Linked DNA regions of Struthio camelus. The protein of the gene in region 2 interacts with the protein of the main gene of each other region in a biochemical or structural test. Links are inferred from orthologs where the notes say so. Each region holds a gene or a part of one and is shown on either strand. Other genes may lie near its edges.

Region 1 (7,512 bases), on a different chromosome or scaffold from region 2:
TTCACCAATTGGTCTGTTCGTTCCAGAAAATTATACCATTCCTCTCCCTGCTACCCTTTGCTAATTCTTGCTACTTCATTCTAAACACCCCAGCCACCGCTCCATCGATTACACAGAAAAAATAAACTTACTCCAACATAGCAAAGCATATTACCATTAAGTATCAAGGTCCAAAGGAAAGCAAAAAAACACTGCATAGTGATAATCAGAAAAGGATATAGTACTCAGAAAGGAAAAAATATGTTTCTTGTTACCCTCCTGGGCACAGGGTTTCCTCAAGTCCCACAAGATAGCCATCTGGCTTTATCCTTCACAGCCTAAATTCCCAGTATACTAATACTTGTCAGTATACTACTCCTCATTTAGTATTCAGCCTAAAAAGTCTTAGAATCCAAAGCCACGCAATAACACGTAGTGAGTAAGATCCATATGTTTCCTTTTGGGCTAAAAAGAAAAGGCATCAGATATAGGCATCAGAAGTTGCTATGCTGTCCACATGGCAACTGTGCTGTTGCAAACTGCACATGATATTGCCATGAAAAACACATACTAAAGAGACAAAAGTCACATGCACATTGATGGAAATGAGGCATTGCACCGCAATTGCATGCTCACTACAGTAGGAAAGAGCAGGGCGTTTCCAAGCTCCTTGCCACTTTCTGCCACTCACAGACCAGCTCAGCAGCAGAGAGACGATGAGATATTAATGCTCACAGCGCCTTGCTGCACTCTGCTATTGGCACCGGCCACCTCTCTTGCAGAACAGGCATAAGAAAATATGTGCCCGTCCCTTGGGGCTCACGCTCACTTCTTGCTTCAAGCCCATCTCTGAGCTTCACACCAGAACAGCTTATACTCAACCACACGTTCTCTTTTGCCACCTCTGCTACATGGGGGAAAATCTTTGGCAGATAAATAAATAAAGCAGTTGAGGGTAGAAATATCTGGATTGTGATGGGGGGAAAGGTGGAAAAGCTCAGATCCTTTAACAGAAGCTTACCAGAAAACCTATTTAAAAAAGCTTGCAGCCTTTAAACTACAGTGTCATCTAGCTGCTACCTAAGAGGTGCATCTATTTTAATGATTTACTGCATTGCAGGGTTCTTGTTGGGTGTAAATTTGTTTTGCATCTATACTTGGAGTCTAGCAGTATTGCTCAAGCTCTGGTTCAATCAAAACAGTTTCGCCCCCCCGAGGAAGTCACGCACCACAGCAGTACGTAGTTCGCCCCAATTGTAATGGCAGCACAAGACCCACCTGCAGTTAACAGTCTACAGACACGTGGTGCAGGTCTAGGACGAGCAACTCATGAAAACTTGGGTCCTGGAACCATAACAGAGTACTGCAAATCAAATGCTGATTCTTTCCGTTTTGTGCCACATCAGTCAGTAATACACAGCCTAAGCTATCCCAAGTGCCAAAGTCCTATGATCACGTTTTTCAACCTGTAACAGGCTTTCCATTCCCTTATCTGTCTAAAATAACACTAAAATGCCAAATTGACACTTATTTAGCAAGAACTAGTGGTTTCACACCACTTCAAACTTTTACTGAAGGTAACATCAATAAATCAGAAAATGATTTCTAAGACTTTTACATACTGGTATTAAGGAACTCACTGGGGAGAATTTAGTATTCAGAAATCTATAATCAAAGTTACAGTTTTTGACAGTGCAGTACCACTGACTTTAATAACTTGACGTGATGCTGTAGCCTCACTAATTTTATTCATACACCATGATGCCTAAACAGGGAAAAGAAAGAGGGTTTTGCAAGTAGTATAAGAGAGCACATGGGTAGCATGAGGCAGGAAATCTCCTGCTGAACTCACACTGTTGAATCTCTGACTCTTTCATTGCAAGCACAGATATTTGATCGACTCAGAGGTACAGCGAAAAAGGTAGTATATGATCTTTTAATAGCACAGAGATCCCGTACAATTTTTATATGCATGTAAATGTCCAGCAGACATTCCTATCTTCACTATTTGAATTTTTATGCCACTAAGCATATTCTGATGTTTTTGTCCTGTATTCCCATGTGAACATACAGTTCAGTAAGCTTGGCTGCTCCGCTCCCTCTCCACACACAGAGGCTTTCTCTCTGCTCATGTGGAGCCCTGGAGTTTCAAGAAACAGTGACAGGAAGACACAACAGACTCAGCAGCAGCAGCTTTATGAACTGTAAATGTTTACATTCAATGGATACCCTGTCTTATTGCATAGTGAAATTTACCTGTCAAGAAATACACAACTTCTGCCAATTTGAACCAAAGGGAACCTTCTGCGGACTTTTACAAAGACAAATTAATAATCGAACTAATATTCCAAATCAACTCAAAGTAAATGAACTTGTTCACAGAGATAAATGTGTCAGATTAAATGTTTGCATTTATGTTTATACTTCTGTAATACAAATTATGCATAGCATGTATTACTAAGTTCTCTGTCATTCTCTTCTATTAAGCTTTGGACTGGTCCTTTGAGAACTCATTATCTACACTGAGTTTCCCAGGGACTTGATATGACTCTACTAGAATTGCTACTGTCTTGTACTTTCCCAGAAAGATTGTGATACTTTTCCCAAGAACGTACAGTTTGACTCTTGACTATTTAATCGTCTAATATCAGTGAGCATTTTTCCCACCAGGGCCAAATAGTGAAACTGAGTTATCAGCAGTATTATTGGTTTATTCAAAGACAGAGCCATTAAACAAGCCCATTCCCCTGGAGGGAATTGCTGGAAGTATTTCAGTGTTGTTCTTCTTTGCTCTGACAATTCCACTTCAACTTACTTTTCTGTTTTCAAAGTAGGTTTTGGTTTTGGTTTGTTTTTTAACTTCCTTGGGATGGCAACTTCACCCAGCGCTGGCACTTATGTGGGAAGACAAAAAGCAGTCCACAGCTCAGTCAGAACATCCTGTTCAGTGACAAATATCCTGGTTAGAGGCTCACAGTGACAGAGCTTGTGCACCTCCATCCCCATCACCCCGTCCCACCACCATCATCACTCCCCCGTCCCACCACTGTTCCCATTACCCTCTGTCCCACTACCATCCCCATCACCCACATCCCACCATTGTCCCCATCACCCACTGTCCCACCACCATCCCCATCACCCCCATCCCACCATTGTCCTCATCACCCAACGTCCCACCACCATCCTCATCACACCCTGTCTCACCACCGTCCCCATCACACTCTGTCCCACCACTGTCCCCATCACCTGCTGTCCCACCACTGTCACCACCGCTCCCCCGTCCCACCACTGTCCCCATCACCTCCCATCCCACCACCATCCCCATCACCCCCACCACTCTCCCCACCAAGGCGAAGCCACAACACCCCTCTCAGGCCAGCAGCGCTACCAGCTGCGCCGGGATGCCGGTGGCTGCTCTCCCTGCGCCCAGTGTGCCGCAGCCGGGCGACACAGGGAGCGGCAGGGGTCCGGTTTGGGTGGGGACGGGGCCTGGCGGTGAGGGAGCTGCCCCGCAAAAGTGACAGCGCCTGGGAGAAAGCGGCTCAGCGGCCCTTCCTGGCAGCAGCAGGCTGGCTTTCTCTTGGCCCGCTGTGGGGCACCTTCCTGCCACGGGGTTTCTGCCTTTCGGATGACTTGACCCCTCTCTTGCACAGCAGGCGGTTGGCGCTGGGATGCCCCTGCAGGCCCGGGGCAGGGCTCGTCCCGCGGCGGTGCCGAGGAGACGGGGAGCAAGGGCGGCTCCCGCCAGAGCGGCCCCTTCCTAGGGGCGCTGCGCCCGGCCCTGGAGGGTCCCCAGAGCTGCTGCTTCAGCGGGGTGCCCCTCGGGCCGGCCCCCGGCCCAGCCGCCGCCGACACGCGGCTCCCAGGGGAGGCTCGGTGCCTGGTCAGCCAGCCAGGCTCTTTGGCCGACGAAGGAGCCGGGGTGGCAGCCTGAGCAGCGGGGCAGGATCACGCCGGAGCCCAGCGCCATCGCTGCCCGTGGCGCCCTGCAGCCCGCTCGGCCCCACTTGGGGGGGGGGGGGGGGGTCGGTGTTCCCTTTCCCCTCTCGAGGTCTGGGGGCTTTTCAAAAGAAAATGAGGGGCCCCTTCTCCTTGAGCAGGCGGGAGGGTGCGCTCGGCACAGCCGAGAAAAGCCCGAACCGTTTCTTCCCCCCCGAAAATAAACGCCGGCGCGTGTCAAGAGTGAAAAACCCGCCGCCCCCGGGCAGGAGCCGCCACCGGCAGCCCCTCACCGCCGTGTTTGGGCTGAGGGAAGGCGGGGGGGAGGGAGAATCCCTTGGCTGAGGTGTAGTTTTAAAATCTCCAGCCGCCAGGCAGCCGGCGCTCGGGCTGAGAGTTTCACCTCAGCGAGGGCTGAGAGCCCGACGCGCCCCGGCGGGGGCCAGGCAAAGCCCAACGGCGCCAACCGCCGCCGCCTCGGGGAGGGGCGCCCCGCTCCCCCCCCCCCGGCCCCCGACCCGGCTCCCCCCGGCCCGGCGGGCGGCGGCGGCTGCGTCAGAGCTGTGCAAACAGCCGCCGCCGCTATTTAAGGGGCCGGCGGCAGAGGCGGCCCTGACTGAGTGCCGAGCCTGGGCGCGCACGGCCTCGCTCCCTCGGGTCTGGCCTCGGCGGCGCAGCGGCAGGTAGGCGGCGGCGGCCGGCACCCCGCGGCGGGCTGGAGTGGGACTTCAGTGGCGCTTTGATTTCCTCTCCCGCCCTGCCGAAAGGTCGGGTTTTGCGCACTGCCAGTGTTTTCGGTCTAAGGTATACGGGGTGGGGGGGGTGGCGAATGAACTTCGTGTTTTTTTGGTTTTTTTTTTTTTTGCCCTTCTTATGAAATTGTAAGGCGGTTGTTCGGTGCGCTGTTCAGGAACTTAAACTGAGTCACCAGCTCCCGTGCAGGTAACTTGTGTAAGTGGGAAGTAGCCTTAAAGCGTTAAGCTTTAGCTACGTTGTTTCGCCTGTTTTTACGGAGAGTAATTTTTATGTGTCCGGAAGAAAAGCCTGTGTCCGTTTATATAATCAAATAATCTAGCGAAAGGACATCGTTTTTTCTAATATTCGTTTCCTTAAGGAAGCAGCAAACAAAAATCATTACACTTGAGCTCTCTGCTTTACATCAAGAAGAGTATTGCCACGCTGCACGTTATTTCTTACTCCCGACCAGCTTTTACCACCTCAACGGTTAGATCCAGTGCTGGGGGGGAGGTTATAGATTTTGGTTTTATTTTCCTTCTGTGGCTGCTTTCCTCCTCACTGTGTGACAAGATAAAGCCTCTTGAGCGCTGCAGTTCAAACCAAAGAAAGGTTGCTCGAAGTAATGGCTCCGTAAAACTTTTCAAAATCAAGTATTTGCAGTAACAGTGGGTTTTAGCACAACAGCGGAATAGTGGTGTTTTTTAATCCTGGGATTTTCCTCGGAGCTGGATGTGTTTCTTATGTTTTAGTGAAATGCAGCTTCCAGAAAAGCGAGGAGGAATGGAGTGAATCAAGGAGATGCTGCACAAAGCACAGTGAATTGGTTTTATCCCTTCCTGTGTTACTTAACAGCCCACAGATGCTTCTGCCTCTTACCCAGGGATATTTAACTATTAATGTACATGTTTTCCAGCTTAATGCTGATCCCACAGTTATCCCTGTTTAAAAAAAAAAAAAGCTTGCTCAGAAGCCGTTGCCTCCAAAAATGAAGGTGGGGATAACATAAAATATCTGATCGTTTTAACCCCTGATTCCTATTCTCTCCAGCAATGTACAGTGGTATATGCATCTGCGTGTTCCTTGCTGTGCTCTCAGCAAGCTCTTTCGGGCAGCAGACTGCGGGCTCACACAATGGGAATCCACTGGCTGCCGAGCTTGAGCAGAGTTTGACAGAGCATCACCGGCACGTCCGCGCCCCTTCATCCACCGGCCCGCTGAAACCTGTCCCGCGGCTGGATGGAAGCATCGACCAAAGAGCTAACATTGGTGCTTTGTTGGCCAAGTATCTCCAGCAAGCCAGAAAAGGTAATAGCCTACTTCCTATGCTGCTTCTGCGTTAGTGGAGTTTCCTTCAGAAAAACCTAGATGTTAAGGGAACCCTGTCATAGTCCAGCATGGATTACCACAGAAGATAGGAGGTAGATTTTTGCCTAGTTATTCCTGAAGTAGAGAGCATTCTCCTTTTCTGTTGTTGCAAAACTCTGCCAAAAAGATTTTTCACGTATCATCCACTGGCTGAGAGCTGGGTACAGGTAACAGGAAAATTTAAACCTCCCTGTCAGGTTCTAGCTGAGCATTTATTTATTTATTTTCACTTATTTTCATAGCCTTGTAATTATTTTGGTATGTTTTGCAGCATGTTTTATTTCACCCAAAATCTAGTAATTGCATTTTCTTGAACTTTTTCATTTAAAAAACCTCCATTCCTCTTTGAAGTTAGGAGAGCAGGAAAGCTTTTCTGTGGCTAAATACAGACCAAATGGCTAATCTTTCCTCAGCCAGGAACATCCACAACAGGGAAATCTTCTGAGTATTGGACTTTCCATGTAGTTGTTCTCAGGGAGAAGTTACAAAAGCATGCGAGCTTTTGAAAGATCGGAACTTGCATTTATGAACACAGTGCTAAAGCAGTGGTAAATAAAAGTGTTTGCTTCAAAATGTGTCAATTCCTATTTGGTTTTGAGTCCCAGGCAGCCTTGGAGTACAACAGAATCTTGCAGTTACTTAAAACCTCCATGGCACTGCATTTGTAACAGGGTGTGAAGCACTGACAAGAGTAATGGAATTTGAGGGCTTGATTTTTTTCTTATGTGATATAGTCATTTAAGGAAGAAACTGTATTACATACATGAGCTAGCTAGGGAAAGAATAAAGCTGTATAATAAAAGTATATATTTTACATGCACACACACATATGCTGTCTGTACTATCAGTAGATGTGATGGATCAAAATGGTTTCATATAGTTCCCCGTTGAAACTCTCCTAAAAGACACTTTTCCTTTTGAAGTATCTCATCTGTGTATTGCTTTCTGTCTGAGTAGAGTAGCACTGCGGGCAACCTAATTGCTGTCGACTCCATGGGAGAGAGATGGCTGCCAGCCTCAGCAAAAGCCACCACGCAACTTGTGGAGTTGCACAAATCTTGTTTACTTGCTATAGCTTCTGGCTGGTCTATCTCTGGTATTGCAGGGGAAAAAGGACATATTAGAAGCATAGAGGGCTGAAGAGAGAGACAGTAATTATGATGACCTGGACATATGGACATTGTGTCCATATGGACACAATTGCTTAACTCACAGACCCAGGCTCTGTTTAGGATGAAGTTCACTTTACGTAAGTAATGGCTTTCTCCTCTCCTGTCTCTCCACATTACCTTGTGCAGTTTACTTCATCTTCCCCTCCTGGTAGCCTCACTGCTGATCCCTGCACTAGGCAGAATCCTTTCCTTATTTTTGAAGGAGGTCTGCAATTAAGAGATCATGTGCATTTTATACTTATGTATGCCGGCATACACACTCATTTGTATACACGGAGTATGATCAAATTAGAAACAACTGAAAAAGTTGTTTTTATTC
Region 2 (6,843 bases):
GAGCGGGGGGTGCTGCGGCACCTGCCGGCCCGGCTGCGGGCCGAGGTGGCCGCCAGCGTGCACCTGCCGGCCCTGCGCAAGGTGGCCCTCTTCCAGAGCTGCGAGCGCGGCGTGCTGGAGGAGCTGGTGCTCAAGCTGCGGCCCCAGGTCTTCAGCCCCGGCGAGTTCGTCTGCCGCAAGGGCGACGTCGGCCGCGAGATGTACTTCGTCCGCGAGGGGCGGCTGGCCGTGGTGGCCGACGACGGCGTCACCCAGCTCGCCGTCCTGGGCGAGGGGCTCTACTTCGGCGAGATCAGCCTCATCAACATCAAAGGTAAGCCCGGGGCGCCGGCCCCTGCCGCGGGACCCCCGCTCCTGCGCCCCCCGCCTCACCGCGGCCTCCCCGTCCCCAGGGAACAAGTCGGGAAACCGGCGCACGGCCAACATCAAGAGCATCGGCTACTCGGACCTCTTCTGCCTCTCCAAGGAGGACCTGAGGGAGGTGCTGGCCGAGTTCCCCAGCGCCCGGGCCATGATGGAGGCCAAGGGCCGCGAGATCCTGCTGCGCCTGGACAAGCTGGACGTGCACGCCGAGGCGGCGGCGGCGGCGGCGGCCGAGGAGGCCGAGCGCCGGGCGCGGGCGCTGGAGGCGGCCCTGGAGGGGCTGCAGACCCGGGTGGCCCGGCTGCTGGCCCAGCTGGAGTCCAGCGCCTTCAAGCTGGCGCTGCGCATCGAGCGCCTGGAGCGCCGGCTCCGGCGGCGGGGCGCTGCCGGGGAACCGGGTCCTGCTGGGGCCCAGGGGCCTGCCACGCCGCGGGGTCCTGCTGGGGGACAGGGTCCCACCAGGGCACCAGGTCCCAGTGGGGCACCAGGTCCCACCAGGGTGCAGGGCCCTGCCACGCCGCGGGGTCCTGCTGGGGGACAGGGTCCCACCAGGGCACCAGGTCCCAGTGGGGCACCAGGTCCCACCAGGGCGCAGGTGCCTGCCACGCTGCGGGGTCCTGCTGGGGGACAGGGTGATGCCGCGGGACAGGGCGATGCTGGGGTACAGGGTGATGCCGGCGGACGGGGTCCTGCCAGGGGACGGGGTCCTGCTGGGGGACAGGATGATGCTGGGAAACGGGGTCCTGCTGGGGGACGGGGTCCTGCCGGGGGACAGGGTCCTGCCGGGGGATGGGGTCTTGCTGGGGGACAGGGTGATGCTGGGGGATGGGGTCCTGCTGGTGGACGGGGTCCTGCCGGGGAACAGGGTCCTGCCGGGAGACAGGGTGATGCTGGGGGACGGGGCGATGCCGGGGGACGGGGTCCTGCTGGTGGACGGGGTCCTGCTGGGAGACGGGGTCCTGCTGGTGGACGGGGTCCTGCTGGGGGACGGGGTCCTGCTGGGGGACGGGGCGATGCCGGGGGACGGGGCGATGCCGGGGGACGGGGTCTTGCTGGGGGACGGGGCTCCGCGGGGGTGCAGGGCATGCGGGGCACAGCCACCCGGCGCTGAGGGTTAACCGGCAGCAACTCCTCGTCCGGGTGCAGTGTGAGGAACCGGTGACCATGGTTGCTAGGTAACATTGACAGTAGTTGCTAGGTAGCAATGACAGCAGTTGCTAAGTAACAATGACAACAACTGCCAAGTAACAGTGACCAAGTTCTATGTAACATTGACAATAGGTGCTAGGTAACAATGACAACAGCTGGTAACTAACAGTAACAATAGTTGCTGCGTAACTGTTAGAACTTGCTGGGGAACAATAAAGACAGTTGCTACCGGAGAACAACAATAGCTGCAGGAACAGGTCCACGGGCCGGGCAGGGACAGGGGAAGGAGCAGGGGCAGGGACAAGGACAGGGACAGGGACAGGGATAGGGGCAGGGGCAGGGACAGGGCAGGGGCAGGGATAGGAGCAGGGATGGGGATAGGGATGGGGCAGGGATAGGAGCAGGGACAGGAACAGGGATAGGAGAGGGATGGGGCAGGGAGAGGGGCAGGGACAGGGTTAGGGATAGGGGCAGGGTGAGGGAAAGGCAGGACAAAGGCAGGGGCAGGAATAGGGACAAGGATAAGGATGGGGCAGGGCTTGGGGCTGGCGTAAGGGCAGGGATAAGGACACGGACAAGGGCAGGGGCTGGAGGCAGGGCTAAAGGATGGGGATTGGGGCAGAAATGGGGCAGGGAGAGGGACGGAGCAGGGCAGGGACAAGGACAAGGATGGGGCAGGGATGGGGAAGGGACAGGGAGAGGGACAGGGACAGGGATAGGAACAGAGATGGGGCAGGGTAGGGACAGGAACAGGGCTAGAGGCAGGGCTAAAAGATAGGGATTGGGGCAGGGAGGGGGACAGGGATAGACGGGGCAGGGATAGGGGAAGGGGCAGGGATGGGGCAGGGGTGGGGACCGGGCAGGGCTATCGGGGGGGCTCACCCGGGGCACCGGGAGGGCGAGCGGGGCTCCAGCGGGCCGAGCCCGGCTCCGGACCGAGCAACCGCCCTCGGGCTGCTGCGGGCCGCCGGGCCGGGAGAGCCGGTCGCGCCGGGGCTGCTCGGCCCCGGCCCCGGCACCGCCCGCCCCACGGCCGGCGGGCGGGCGGGACACGCGCGGCACCGCCGGGGCTCCAGCCCACGAACGCGCGTGTCCGTGGCCTCGCGGCTGGGAGCGGCCGCAGCCGCTGCCGCGGGGGGGGCGGCGGCACCGCGGGGGGCGGGGGCGGCAGGGGGCCGGGGGCACCGCGGGGGGCGCGGAGGGACCGCGGGGGGCCGGGTGCACCGCTGGGGGGGGCAAGGGGGGCGCGGGGGCGGCGGGGGGGCCGGGGGCACCGCGGGGGGAAAGGGGGGGCAAGGGGGCAAGGGGGCACCGCGGGGGGCGCGGAGGGACCGCGGGGGGCCGGGGGCACCGCGGGGGGCGCGGGCGGCGCTGCCCAGCCGGGTCCGGGAGGCTCCCGCGCCGCCTCCCGCAGCCGCCCCGGCCCGGTGCCGGTGCCGGTGCCGGTGCCGGTCGCCGCTGCATCTGCTCCCCGGACCCGGCAGCGCCGGGACCCTGCGCCGCCGGGTGCCTGCTCCGCGCCGCGCTGCACCCCCGAGCCCCCCCGCGCTCTGCATCGGCATTGTCCCCTCCGCCCCCTGCATCCCCGCAAGTCCCCCCTTACCCCCTTACCGCCCCCCCCAAATGCCCCTGCACCCCCTCTGCCTCTGCAGCATCCCACCGCCCCTCCGTCCCCCCAAATGCCCCCTCCACCCCCGATGCCCCTGCAGCATCCCACCGTCCCCCCTTCCCCCAAATACACCCTCCACCCACACTGCCCTGCATCGTCCTACTGCCCCCCGTCCCCCCAAATGCCCCCTCCACCCCCGATGCCCCTGCAGCATCCCACCGTCCCCTCCTTCACCCCAAACGTCCCCTGCACCCCCGATGCCCCTGCAGCATCCCACCGTCCCCCCTTCCCCCAAATACACCCTCCACCAACACTGCCCCTGCATCGTCCTACTGCCCCCCGTCCCCCCAAACGCCCCCTGCACCCCCGCTGCCCCTGCAGCATCCCACCGCCCCCCGTCCCCCCAAACGCCCCCTCCACCCCCGATGCCCCTGCAGCATCCCACCGCCCCCCGTCCCCCCAAACGCCCCCTGCGCCCCCGCTGCCCCATCCCGCGCGGCCCCTCCACCCCTCGGTCCCCCGGGCCTCCCCCGCCGCCCCCGCCCGCTCCCGCTGCCCGCCCGCTCCCCCGCCCCGGCCGCCGCTGGCGCCGCCCCCGCTCACTCGCTCGGCGGCTCCGGAGCGAGCGGGGCCGCGCGTCCCCGCTGCCGCCGCTGCCGCCGCTGCCGCAGCCGCTGCCGCAGCCGGTGCCGGTGCCGGTGCCGCCGCCCGCGGCAGCGCGATGGGCGCGGGGCGGCCCTGAGGCGGCGCCATGGACCCGCGGCGCCTCAACGACTCGCTGCAGGAGCTGCTCTGCCGCCCCGGCCCCGGCCCCGGCCCCGGCAACGCCACCGGCAACGCCACCGGCGCCGGCAACGCCTGGAACGGCTCCGCCTGCGACCTCCTCCGCAGGGGCCTCCGCGGGCCCCCCGCGCCCAAAGGTGAGCCGGGACGGGGCGGGACGGGACGGGACGGGACGGGACGGGACGGGACGGGACCGGACAGGACCGGACCGGACGGGACCGGACGGGACCGGACAGCCCCCGGCTGGACACGGCTCCCGGCGCTGCGCCCGAGCCTCCCGGTGCGCCCCGTCCGCCTGCCCGGTGCACCCTCCGTGCGCCCCACCGCCTGCCCGGTGCACCCCCCGTGCGCCCCACTGCCTGCCCGGTGCACCCTCCGTGCGCCCCGTCCGCCTGCCCGGTGCACCCCCCGTGCGCCCCACTGCCTGCCCGGTGCACCCCCCGTGCGCCCCGTCCGCCTGCCCGGTGCACCCTCCGTGCGCCCCACCGCCTGCCCGGTGCACCCTCCGTGCGCCCCGTCCGCCTGCCCGGTGCACCCTCTGTGCGCTCCACTGCCTGCCCGGTGCACCCCCCGTGCGCCCCGTCCGCCTGCCCGGTGCACCCCCCTGTGCGCCCCACTGCCTGCCCGGTGCACCCTCCGTGTGCCCTGTCCGTGTGCCCCGTCTGCCTGCCCGGTGCACCCCCCGTGCGCCCCACTGCCTGCCCGGTGCACCCTCCGTGCACCCCGTCTGCCTGCCCGGTGCACCCTTCCGTGCGCCCCATCCGCCTGCCCAGTGCACCCTCCGTGCGCCCCGTCCGCCTGCCCAGTGCACCCCCCGTGCGCCCCGTCCGCCTGCCCGGTGCACCCCCCGTGCGCTCCACTGCCTGCCCGGTGCACCCTCCATGCGCCCCGTCCGCCTGCCTGGTGCACCCTTCCGTGCACCCTGTCCGCCTGCCCGGTGCACCCCCCGTGCGCCCCACTGCCTGCCCGGTGCACCCTCCGTGCGCCCCATCTGCCTGCCCAGTGCACCCCCCGTGCGCCCCGTCCGCCTGCCCAGTGCACCCCACGTGCGTCCCACTGCCTGCCCGGTGCACCCCCCGTGTGCCCCGTCCGCCTGCCCAGTGCACCCTTCCGTGCGCCCCATCCGCCTGCCCAGTGCACCCCCCGTGCGCCCCGTCCGCCTGCCCGGTGCACCCCCCGTGCACCCCACTGCCTGCCCGGTGCACCCCCCGTGCGCCCCGTCCGCCTGCCTGGTGCACCCTCCGTGCGCCCCACCGCCTGCCTGGTGCACCCCCCATGCACCCCGTCCGCCTGCCCGGTGCACCCTCCGTGCGCCCCGTCCGCCTGCCCGGTGCACCCCCCGTGTGCCCCACTGCCTGCCCGGTGCACCCCCCGTGCGCCCCGTCCGCCTGCCCGGTGCACCCCCCGTGTGCCCCACTGCCTGCCCGGTGCACCCCCCGTGCGCCCCACTGCCTGCCCGGTGCACCCCCCTGTGCGCCCCGTCCGCCTGCCCGGTGCACCCCCCGTGCGCCCCACTGCCTGCCCGGTGCACCCCCCGTGCGCCCTGTCCGCCTGCCCGGTGCACCCCCCATGCACCCCGTCCGCCTGCCTGGTGCACCCTTCCGTGCGCCCCGTCCGCCTGCCCGGTGCACCCCCCGTGCGTCCCACTGCCTGCCCGGTGCACCCCCCGTGCGCCCCGTCCGCCTGCCCGGTGCACCCCCCGTGCGCCCCACTGCCTGCCCAGTGCACCCCCCGTGCGCCCCGTCCGCCTGCCCGGTGCACCCCCCCGTGCGCCCCGTCCGCCTGCCCGGTGCACCCCCCATGCACCCCGTCCGCCTGCCTGGTGCACCCTTCCGTGCGCCCCGTCCGCCTGCCCGGTGCACCCCCCGTGCGCCCCGTCCGCCTGCCCGGTGCACCCTTCCGTGCTCCCCCTCCGCCTGCCCAGTGTACCCCCCGTGCGCCCCGTCCGCCTGCCTGGTGCACCCTTCCGTGCACCCCGTCCGCCTGCCCGGTGCACCCCCCGTGCGCTCCACTGCCTGCCCGGTGCACCCCCCTGTGCGCCCCATTGCCTGCCCGGTGCACCCTCCGTGCGCCCCGTCTGCTTGCCTCATGCACCCCCCTGTGCACCCCAGTCTGTGCTCCGTCCACCTGCATGGTGCCCCCTCCTGCACACCGTGCCACACGCTCCACTGCGCACTCTGCCGTGCGTCCCATCCACCTGCCTGGAGCACCCCCCGTGCACCCCACACCTCCCAATGTGCTGCCCACCTGCCTGGTTCACCCCACCATACACCTCCTGTGCACTCTGCTGTGCACCGTGTCCACCCGCCCGGTGCACCCCAGTGCGCCCCCCTGTGTCCTGTCTGCCTCCCCAAAGCAGCTCCGTTCATCCCACCGTGCACACGGTGCACCCCATGCTCCTGCCTCCACGCAGCCCGGAGCATCCCACAGTGCCCCATCCCTGCTGCATCTGGGTCTGGTTTGTCACACCAGCTGGTGCCCACAGCACAGTCCCAGGTCCCAGTCACTGGCCCGGGGGGGCTGCGTGCCCAAGCGGCACCAGACTGCAGGACAGCAGGACCCCCTACCCCGCACGGCACCACCCGGCTCTGCGGCTCCACAGCTCCACGCCTCGGGGCTCTGCGGCTCCACAGCTCGGAGCTCTGCGGCTTGGGGGCTCCACGGCTCGGAGCTCCGCAGCTCCATGGCTCCATGGTTCCACTGCTCGGAGCTCCGCGGCTTGGGGGCTCCACAGCTCCACTGCTCGGAGCTCCGCGGCTTGGGGGCTCCACAGCTCCACTGCTCGGAGCTCCGCGGCTTGGGGGCTCCACAGCTCCACTGCTCGGAGCTCCGCGGCTTGGGGGCTCCACAGCTCCACTGCTCGGAGCTCCGCGGCTTGGGGGCTCCACAGCTCCACTGCTCGGAGCTCCGCGGCTTGGGGGCTCCACAGCTCCACTGCT

The links. The genes of interacting proteins can lie anywhere in the genome.
Region 1: the proteins of CCKBR (region 2) and CCK form a complex in vitro, tested with the Homo sapiens proteins (3 studies listed by BioGRID). The link is inferred for Struthio camelus from reciprocal best matches to the Homo sapiens genes CCKBR and CCK.

What each region holds. Positions count from the first base shown.
Region 1 is NC_090943.1:51,798,751-51,806,262, reverse strand, and holds the start of CCK (cholecystokinin), read left to right. Parts: upstream 1-4,512; 5' UTR 4,513-4,601; exon of another isoform or gene 4,602-4,722; intron 4,723-5,703; 5' UTR 5,704-5,705; coding exon 5,706-5,961; intron 5,962-7,512. UniProt on the Homo sapiens protein: This peptide hormone induces gall bladder contraction and the release of pancreatic enzymes in the gut. Its function in the brain is not clear.
Region 2 is NC_090942.1:225,047,472-225,054,314, forward strand, and holds the start of CCKBR (gastrin/cholecystokinin type B receptor), read left to right. Parts: upstream 1-3,836; 5' UTR 3,837-3,872; coding exon 3,873-4,041; intron 4,042-6,843. Other genes in the region: CNGA4 (cyclic nucleotide-gated channel alpha-4), read left to right, coding at 1-313, 393-1,024, 1,489-1,542. UniProt on the Homo sapiens protein: Receptor for gastrin and cholecystokinin. The CCK-B receptors occur throughout the central nervous system where they modulate anxiety, analgesia, arousal, and neuroleptic activity.